Linked DNA regions of Caenorhabditis elegans. The protein of the gene in region 1 interacts with the protein of each later gene in a pairwise test. Each region holds a gene or a part of one and is shown on either strand. Other genes may lie near its edges. The genes, in order: nhr-37 and hat-1.

Region 1 (5,153 bases):
ATTTTAGTACAACCGAGATATGAGCCGTCAAAGTAAAGCAATTGGGGTACAAATCCAGTAGGGAAAATATGGTAGACTTGTTAACTTGAAATTAGTCTTCAGTTTATGTACTATAGGACTAAACTTATTTGTATTTATTTTTTTTTAACTTGAGGGAATAGTTTTCCTTGACATGCATACTTAATAAAGCGGTGAATTGAATTTATATGAATAACATTGTTGTACTAGTTGTTACTTTGATGCTACTTTTGCAAATTGACAAAATATCATGATATCTCGGAAAATATGCGAACTACATATTTGGCAAATTTATTACTCATCGGGTAAGAAAATCGGAGAAAACATATCTGATGTCTATCAACTGATCTAAATGAATAGAAAAATGATTGTTCCCAATTGAATCAGTCTAGATCAGGAACTTTTGAAACATATATACAGTTATATGCCCTAAAAATGAACAACTTTCCCCGTCAACAGACACAATATTTTTCTCTTTTTCTGGTCTCCATGTCCTATTTCATGAGTCAAGTGTTGTAGAGGGCGACGATAAGACATCGGGCCCAAACGCATTAACGAATCATCTTGCGGGTCGGGAGGCGGGATCTGTCAAAAGTTTGCAGCGTTTGGCAAAGGTTCGAGGCTGGCAATGAAGATGCAAGGATGGTGGACGGCTACCTGCAGATGACAGTCTATCGGAGACGCAGACTAATCAGATGACATTAGTCTTTTGAAAGTTTTGCGGAAGTCCAATTCGGCGAACACAGGTCGCGTGTGAATCGATGCTCGTAGACCGAGTAGCAATTGACAGCTAGAGATTGACAATTTATGAAGAGACGCAGACAGATGTGAACATAGAAACGACAAAAGACATACATGTTTCGAATTAGATGGACAAGATCGGTTGCCTCTATATAAAGTAGCTCAACGTATTTTATCCAAAATTCTAAATCGGTCACTATCAATCTAGCAATTCTAAAATGTTTTTGTTTCTGATTTTCCGCAATTCCATCGAAGTTACAATTTTGACTTAAAATTTTCTATCACAAATCATGTACCAATGTGTGCACTTTTAAAAAAATTGTACAATGTATGTAGCAGTAATCAGAAGGGGATTGTTTTCCTATAAAATTCAAGAAAACCCAAAATTCTCACATTCCGAAAATCTTTTTTTTCTGACTTTTTTCCTTTTTGGTTCATCGAACATAAAAACATTTTGAAACAAATTTTTGAGGTGGTCTTTTCAAGTGGAAAGTAAATTCAAAATCTTTTATCATCAGATCGAATATGAAATTTCTGAGTTTTCTATTTTAAGAACTTTCAGTATCTATAGTATCCCTAGGCACATTTTTAAAACGTTTCATACAACTCCAGCTAAAGTTTTCTGAAAATACGGTTAGCCAAATTCACCACTTCATCCTGATAATTGTCATTATGCTTTTCCTTCCACTACAACTAGACTATCTCTTTTCGGAAGGGGGTGAGATTTTAATTGTTTGTCTGAGATTCCTACGTCTTCGACCAGCGTAACGATCAGAGAACATGCCGACATGACGTCTTCCCCCAGCCGAAAATGTCTCTCTTCTGATCTTGCCTTACATGTGAAGAAAAGTACCAAAAAATTGCTGTGATAACTTTGTGATTTGAGGCTGGGTTTTCAGTCTCAAAATTTGACATGTAGGTACGTTCATTTTTCCTTCAAGTTTCCCTCTTTTTTTTTCTCAAATATAAACCCTTTTCGGTGGTCACTTGATCTTTTCCTCTCCTCTCTACGTTTTTCATTTCTCTAATAACATATCTGGTAGAGATCTCTTAGAATGACAACACCCAATTTGCATATTACAAAATGATGATCACACTTTTTTTCCTTCTCAGAATCTAAAAATGGTACCTGACAAGTCATGCTTGGTTTGCAAAAAAGCTTCAAATGGAATGCATTTCGGTGCACTCACCTGCCGAGCGTGCGCCGCATTCTTTCGAAGGGCTACTGTACTGAAATTACAGTATAAATGTAAGCAGGGGAATTCAAAATGCAATATTGATGGTCGTGGAAGGTGAGTTACTATAGTCTTCAAAATCAGAAAATTCACGTTTTGTTTATAGATATGTCTGCCGGCAGTGTCGTCTGACAAAGTGCAAAGCAATCGGGATGAATGAAGAGAGTATGTTTTTTTTTCCAAAAAAATAAAAACTTGCAAGATTTTCAAGTGCATATCGTGCACATCAAAAAATTTTACATCAAAAGTTTTTGTGAAAAATTGTTGCGAAAATTGGTTTGACAAATTTTCAAAAACTTCATGTGAATAGGTTTTGTGGAATACGCAGAAAAATAATTTTTTCTGAAAAATAAAAAATCCTAACAAAATTTCTAGATCATCTCTATGTTTGATTTTTACTCTTTAGGCTTAGAAAGGATTTTTTCCGAAGTCCGAAAATTACAAAAATATTCCAAAGGTTTTTTTTATAGCTTAAATAATTTCAAAATGAGGGCATTAAATACAAAAGTGCCCTATTTCCTTTTTTTACATAATGTTGAATTTTGAAAATTGCTAAAAATCACCACTCATTTTTGCTAGTGGTGAAATAACTAAATCCTTTCCAAAACACAAATAAAATTTCAATTACTGTCAAAAATTTTGCTGCCATTCTTTTGGAATTTAACCAAAAGCGTTTTTTTCTGCAAATTTTACAGAGTCCAATTATTTTTCTCTTCTTTTTTTCTCTTCTTTTTCTAGTAAAATATACTCATTTTTCAGAAGTTCAATTGGACTATGACCCAACGTACTCGTTTCGCGGTTTGATGGAGGATAGTGGAAGTGTGAGTTTTGTTTTTTAAATTAAAAACAATTATTTTATTTACTACATTTCAGGACGAATTCTCTACGCCAAATGGAAGCCCAGCTCAATCTGATTACAGCCCGACCAACTTGAGCCGGAAGAACTCGGTGGAGTCACCTGGAATTGATCCGAACTTTTTGTTCACCTTCTCGCCAAAAACACCGGATAAGCCGAACATGGTTATCAGTTTTAATGACTTGGTGAAGAAAATTGAAACGTCATTTTCGGTAAGTTGAAGCGAAAAACATTGAAAGTGAAAATTTTGTTATTTTATGTTCAGCATAAAACAAAAGGCGACGATTGTGAACTGACTACTTTGACGTCTGCATTGAAAAAGTTTAGGAAAAATCAAAAAGCTCAAAGTCAAATCTCTTTTCTTGACAAAGTCGAGCTGAAATCTGCTATTGATTGGCTCAATGATCGAATCTATATGTACTCTTGTTGGTTTTCCTCTTCAAAATCTTTAATGTCTCTACCCATGGATCAAAAAATGCAGCTCTTCCGATCTTCTTGGAATGTCGTTAGAACATTTGAGCGCCTAGAAATGTCTGTCAAGATTTTTGAAGAAGGAGTCATTCGAGGAGGAGTGAGAATAGTTTTTAATTATTTTTAAAAATATCAACTGTTTTTCAGTATATACTTATCAATGATGATCTCGCAATGAAATTGGAATCAACTCATATTGACTTTGCCTCGATAACTGATCTCACGAATCAATATTTCAACAAGTGAGTTTTCTGTTTCAAAAACTTTGAAATGCCCACAATTCGCTGATTGAAATTTGTCAATGTTCTGAAAAGCCTACTCAAAGTTGCGTTGGTTTTAGGATCACATTTTGATACAGCATTTTCTTTACTATAAAATTAATTGAAATACTGAAAATTCAACAAAACAATTTTTGCCGCTATGTCGAGAAAGATATAATGATGAAAAATCTTTGAACATTTTTATATTTGTATTTTTGTAATTTTCAGACTATTCGAACCCTTCCTACACCGTTACATAGATGAAGTTGCAAGGCCACTTCTTGATCTCAAGCCAACTACGGAAGAAGTCGTTTTTTGTATGGTTCACCTTATTGGACTTGAAGGTAAAAAAAAAAAACATCAATCAAATTTTTATTAACTTTAATTTTAGAAGGTGATCTTTCTCATGAAACACGAGAAGCTTGCGAACAAATGCGAGCAGAAATTGCTGACCAAATGCACGTTTATTATACAAATCGGACGGATATCAAAATGTATTCTCATCGGCTTCTGATTCTTATGAAACTGGTCAAATCCATGAAGGTTTGCCAAATTTTTTTTTAAGTTTTCTGATTTTCCCCCTATTTTTAGAGAATCTCTCGTGAGAAATCAAAGATCAAGGAGCTCTTCTGGCTTTTTGACATCTTTCATGCCGAAATCTCGGAGCCGTATTTTTTCGAGATGTTTTAGAAAATGATGGGAACCCAAATCAAGAAAATGCTCACACAACCAGTCATGATAATTTCATAATTCATTTTTACGTACGAGTTTTACAATACGAGTTGTTTCTTTTTGAAAATCAAACAAGTTCACATAAAATATTTTTTGATAATATCGTTGACAAGCACACTTCTTGGAATTTGCAAGTGATCTCCATCCACGTCCATAAAATGGATTCGTCCACTCTCATGAAGCTTCTTCAATCCAATACGATCCTCTTTGTACAGGTCGGTTTCGTTCATTGGGAGAATTGTGTCAATATCACCGTCTTTGTAGAACCCGAACCACTGGAATAAATTATTGAGACTTTATAAAATATTTCAGCGTGAGAACCGTGACAGGTGGTACAAAATGTCTGTTGCCTGTGTGGCTCTTTGTACCCATTAGAATGAGAATACTCGGGAAAACTCCGGCCTGCATTAACAAGCTTTTGGCGACCCTCGCCTATAGGCGACTATAGTCTACTTTCGGAAACTGCAAAACAAAAAAAACCACTCACAGATGAATCCTTTGGTACAACCATATGATCTTGATTGAATTTCACCAGAACCAGGTTTTTGAGACTCAATAAGTTGCGTTTGTAAGTCGGGTTGTTATTCTGAAACAAAAATACTTTTTTTTTCAATTATTTTAATGATTACGATTTTCTAACGATTTTGAAATTCAAATGTCAACCGGCAGGAATAATTTTTAGAAAAGAAAATAAAGCACCACCGTTCATTAAACTAATCCCGGCGCATCTTTTTACAGAAAAAGTTATAATTTTCAATCACCAAAAACAGTTTTTTCAAAACAAAAAAGGACCAAAATGTACAGAAATTATTAATTAATACTTCAAAAAAATGTTTTAAA
Region 2 (4,597 bases), on another chromosome or scaffold:
TTTAATCTATTTTTACAGATATTGTTGGAAAATTATGAATTTTTTCATAGTTTTTCAAGAGAAGTCGCCTAAAAAGCTGAAATTGAGCAAGTTTTCGAGATTTTTCACAAAAAACTCACCAAATTCGGCTTCGTGTACTCGTTGACATTTATGTGTAACGGAGAGAGTGTTTGACTGGTTGGAACACCGACAGACGTCGATGCGACAAATGATGACTTTAGTTGAGCTTCTGACGCTGCAGCGGCGGCCTGAAAATTGAGAAATTGAGAAAAACAATAGGAAAATCGATTAAAATGTGCATTCATACATGTTTTTAATAAGTTTTTTTTACAAAATCGTTTTTAAAAATCTATTTAATGGAAAAATTAGTTTCAAAACATGTTTCTAATATATTTTTTCGACTAAATTAAATTAAAATCATGTTTTGATACATTTTATCGAGAAATTAGGTTAAAATCATTTTTAAAATTCTTTTTTTTTGACAAAATTGGTTGGAAATCATGTTTTTAGATTTTTTGGACAAAATTAGATTAAAACCTTTTTTAATCCATTTTTTCAACAAAACTAACTTAAAATTTAATTTTTATTTTATTTCTCCACAAAATCAGTTAGAAATCCAGTTTCTAGGGTTAAAAAACGCCAATTTTTTACCTCAATCTCTCGTTCATCGTCATTTGTATCACGTTGCTCAACAAATTGCGATAATCCTCCTCCATTTGAAGAAGAAGACGACGCATCGAACAATGAACGATCATGTTCCATACCAGGGAACGAGTGATGTGAGGCAGGAATTGTGCCACCTATTATCACCATACAATCCGATGGGATACTTCTGCTGATGTTGCTCGTATTTGAAAACGTTGTTGGTCCGAGGTTTTCCTTCAATTCTGATATGGATTAGAGGACATTTCACATGGAAAATCCGTGAAATTTCAGAAATTTTCAGTGGAATTTAATTTACCTGTTCTTGTCGAACGCTCATGCATTATTTGATGGTCTTCCCATCAACTTGTTGCTTGGAATCTTCTGAAAATTCGATTTTTTAAAAATGATTTTTGACAATTTTGAGCGGATTTGTGAGAGAAAATTCGATTGAAAAAAAATATTTTTACATTAAAACCGTTGAAAAAACCAATTCTTTTTGATATTTTTCAAAAAATTCCAATGAAATTTGGTTGTTTTCAACAAAAATATAACGGAAAAATGGTAAAATAGCAAAACTTTTATATAAATAGGAAAAATTTATAAATTTTGCGATGAAAAATCTCACAACGAGTTTTAAAAAACTTAATTTCTGATTTTAACAAAGTTTTAATTGAACAAAACAACAAAAATTCTCGAAAATCCGCCGAACTATGGAAATTAACTCTTTTTTATCTAATTATCGTGAGAAAACCGCGAAACCCGGGCAATTAGAGCAAAATAATGCGGTTTTGCGCCATTTTTCACAATAAAAATGAGACATTTTACGGGGAAAACGCTTGAAATTCGATATTTTTGTTTGTTTATAATTTTTATGATGCAACTAAACTTCACGAATCAACTTGATCAATCAATTTATCCGTTTTGGGATGAAAATTCCGGGAGATAAGCGAAAAATTTCTGAAAAATCGATAAAAATTCACCCGGAGGCGTGAAAAACAGCACGGATCCATCAGAAGATCCCTGGCAACGTGCCAACTCGCACGGCGTATTTCGAAAAAAGCGCGACGAGAGAGTGTGTGGCCGTGAGAGACGCGCGACACTCAGACAGTCGGAGAGAACGCCATCTCTTATGAGAGGTTGCGAAAGTCAACGGGTCTCGCCGCGAAGAGACACTTTTGTGTCGATTTACGAAGTGAGAAAGCCCGCGGGAAACTTTTTTAAATTTTATTCTTTTATTTTCGTCGGAATTCCTTCATTTTTTCTCATTTTCCACGCAAAATCGGTAAATAAATTGATTAAATATCGTCTTGTTTCGCGATTTTCAAGGTTCAATGGCGTTTTCAACTCTTTAACAGTTTCAGCATGGTTATGGAGGACGTCACGAATGTCAATCGCAATCGGAGATACATTTCCGACGGACTTGCTGTCGTTAAAATGACATTTTGTAAGAGTTTAACCGAATTTTCGCTTGAAAGTTCCCATTTTTCAGTAAAAAACATGCAAGAAATCAGTACTGCGCCACGCTACGAACCAGAGATGGTCTATCAGCATTTCGGAGATGAGGAGACAATCTTCGGCTACGAAGATCTCGAGGTTACCATCCATCACACAGCTCAAACCCTCTACAGCTACATAAACGTGAGCTATTCCTCAAAAGCGAAAAACGAAAACGGACTGGAGGCCGATGACGTCATTGATAAGCTGGTTCATCCAGACGTTCGTCCGAATGTTCTGGTTTCGGGAAAAGAAGAATTCCAGCAGAAGCTCATCAAACAGAAGGATTTCAAGCCTTTCGGTGAGATGGTACACAAGTTTGAGCTGAAAGGAAAGAGCTACGAGGTCTACAAAGTCGCCGAGCAAACCGAAGAGTTCAACCTTTTCCTAGAAAGAATCCAGACTCTCGGCATGTTGTGAGTGCTTAAAAAATAAGGATTTTCCTACAAAATTTTTTTTTCAGCTTCATCGAGTGCTGCTCACTGACAGATAACACTGAAGACAATTGGCTTCACTATTTTATGTAAGTTGAGAAGATTTCGCGGCGAATTCCAGAAATTACAAAAAATCGAACGCATTTCAAATATTTTTCAATTTTCCAGCTACGAACGCTGCGACACCGGTGAAGGAGATGGAAGTACTGTGGCCAACGTGGCTGGCTACGCGACACTCTTCAAATTCTACAACTACATTGACAGGATCCGTCCACGAATTGCACAGATGCTATTGCTCCCTCAATACAGAAAATCTGGAATTGGAGCCAGTTTCATGGAATCTTTCCTGCGAGATCTTCGTGCCTCTCCAGAAGTTTTCGACGTAACCGTCGAGTCTCCCGGAGATCAGTTCGTCAGCCTCCGTGACTATGTGGATTGTGTCAACTGCATGACACTGCGGGAATTTGCACCGGAGAATCTCAAGAGGGGATACTCGGACAAAATGCGTCAGGCCGCACTGGAAAAGCTCAAGATTTCCAGACAACAAGCCCGTCGAGTCTATGAAATTTTGCGTTATCGTGCTACAAATAAGAAGGATAAAGAAGAGCTGAAAGCGCAGAGAATCGATGTGAAACGTCGGTTGTATGCACCAATGAAGAAATCGGATCAGGACTGGAAGCGTCTGAATCTCGCGTTGACACCCGATGAGCTTCGACAAGCGGCCTGTGGACAAATGGATGAGGAAACCAAGTTCTCGACGCTCTCACAGAATTATGATCGGCTTATGGAGGCCTATCAAAAAACTATTGATCGAATTGAGCAGCATCCAAGCATTTTTTAATCGTTGTATCTGTATCTTATTTTAATTTGAAATTACATGTGGGATTTTTGTATTTTTTTTAAAGCTAATTACCACGAAATTCGTCTAAATTTGCTGTAAATTTGCAAAATTCCCTTGCCGTTATTACCCATACGCGAAATTTTGCGCCAAAAGTACGGTATCCGGTCTCGAAGAGAAAAATGTATGATAAATGCGAAAAAGTGTGCGCCTTTAACGATTTTTATCAGGTTTTCATAGTTTTTCCCAGCATTTGTTAAAGTTTTTTTGGGTTTTGATTGTGATCTACGAAAAATCGACGAAAATCCGCAATAGCAAAAGTTTGAAGCTACAGTACTCTTTAAAGGCGCACAAATTTTCGCGTTTAACAAACATGTTTCGTTGCGAGACCAGGCACCGTATTTTTGGCGTGAAAATCGCTTTGGGTCCTATTTGACTTATTGTGAATGTTTCATGAATTTTTCCGCTCTCTAAACTCTCAGCTAAAAATCGAATTCCCAGTTGAAAATCCCGAATATATTTTTATCTTCTTATATATTATTCTTCAATTACAAAAAAAAAACTCACCGAAATAAATGATCTCTCACTCTATCCCAGCAGAATGGACGAATTCTCATTTCCATTTCAACCATACGACATTCAACTCAATTTGATGCGAGAAATCCGCCAATGCATTGAACAACGGAAAATTGGCATTTTCGAATCTCCAACAGGCACCGGAAAGTCGCTCAGCGTGTTGTGCTCGACGATGACGTGGCTGGAAGCTGAAGAACTACGAATTTCGACTGATTTGAGCACACGGCTCGGGGAGGTTCACACGAAAATCACGGAATGCGATAAAATCACCACCGCCGACAATTGGGAGACGGCAGTTCGTGAGAAAATGCGAGCTCAAGACGTAGAGACGGAGATTTTGGAGCAAATTCAGAGTCGGGAAAGGTGTTGGAAATTGAATAATTATTCTTTTTTAATTTTTTTTTAAATGAAAAAAATCATTCAGATTGCAGTCACGAATCGATCAAGCCCGGCGAGGAATGGTCGAGGTCTCCAGAAAGAGAAAAGCCCCGGCCAGGGATACGGATCAGTTTCTCGAACCTCAAGATGTAATAATTGAACTTTTATCCGGAAATTCACATGTGGCTGACCGTTTTTTCGGAAAATTTCAAGATTTCTGACTAGAACCTGG

The links.
Region 2: the proteins of nhr-37 (region 1) and hat-1 interact in a two-hybrid assay, tested with the Caenorhabditis elegans proteins (one large-scale study listed by BioGRID).

What each region holds. Positions count from the first base shown.
Region 1 is NC_003283.11:6,620,387-6,625,539, forward strand, and holds nhr-37 (Nuclear Hormone Receptor family), read left to right. Parts: upstream 1-1,807; 5' UTR 1,808-1,881; coding exon 1,882-2,051; intron 2,052-2,100; coding exon 2,101-2,159; intron 2,160-2,753; coding exon 2,754-2,815; intron 2,816-2,867; coding exon 2,868-3,062; exon of another isoform or gene 3,063-3,069; intron 3,070-3,115; coding exon 3,116-3,421; intron 3,422-3,468; coding exon 3,469-3,563; intron 3,564-3,809; coding exon 3,810-3,925; intron 3,926-3,972; coding exon 3,973-4,124; intron 4,125-4,172; coding exon 4,173-4,271; 3' UTR 4,272-4,390; downstream 4,391-5,153. Other genes in the region: ppt-1 (Palmitoyl-protein thioesterase 1), read right to left, coding at 4,391-4,588, 4,801-4,899.
Region 2 is NC_003281.10:10,404,652-10,409,248, reverse strand, and holds hat-1 (Histone acetyltransferase type B catalytic subunit), read left to right. Parts: upstream 1-2,000; 5' UTR 2,001-2,007; coding exon 2,008-2,089; intron 2,090-2,134; coding exon 2,135-2,555; intron 2,556-2,602; coding exon 2,603-2,662; intron 2,663-2,741; coding exon 2,742-3,414; 3' UTR 3,415-4,001; downstream 4,002-4,597. Other genes in the region: M03C11.3 (PH domain-containing protein), read right to left, coding at 120-248, 652-887, 962-986; ATP-dependent DNA helicase chl-1, read left to right, coding at 4,013-4,350, 4,412-4,514.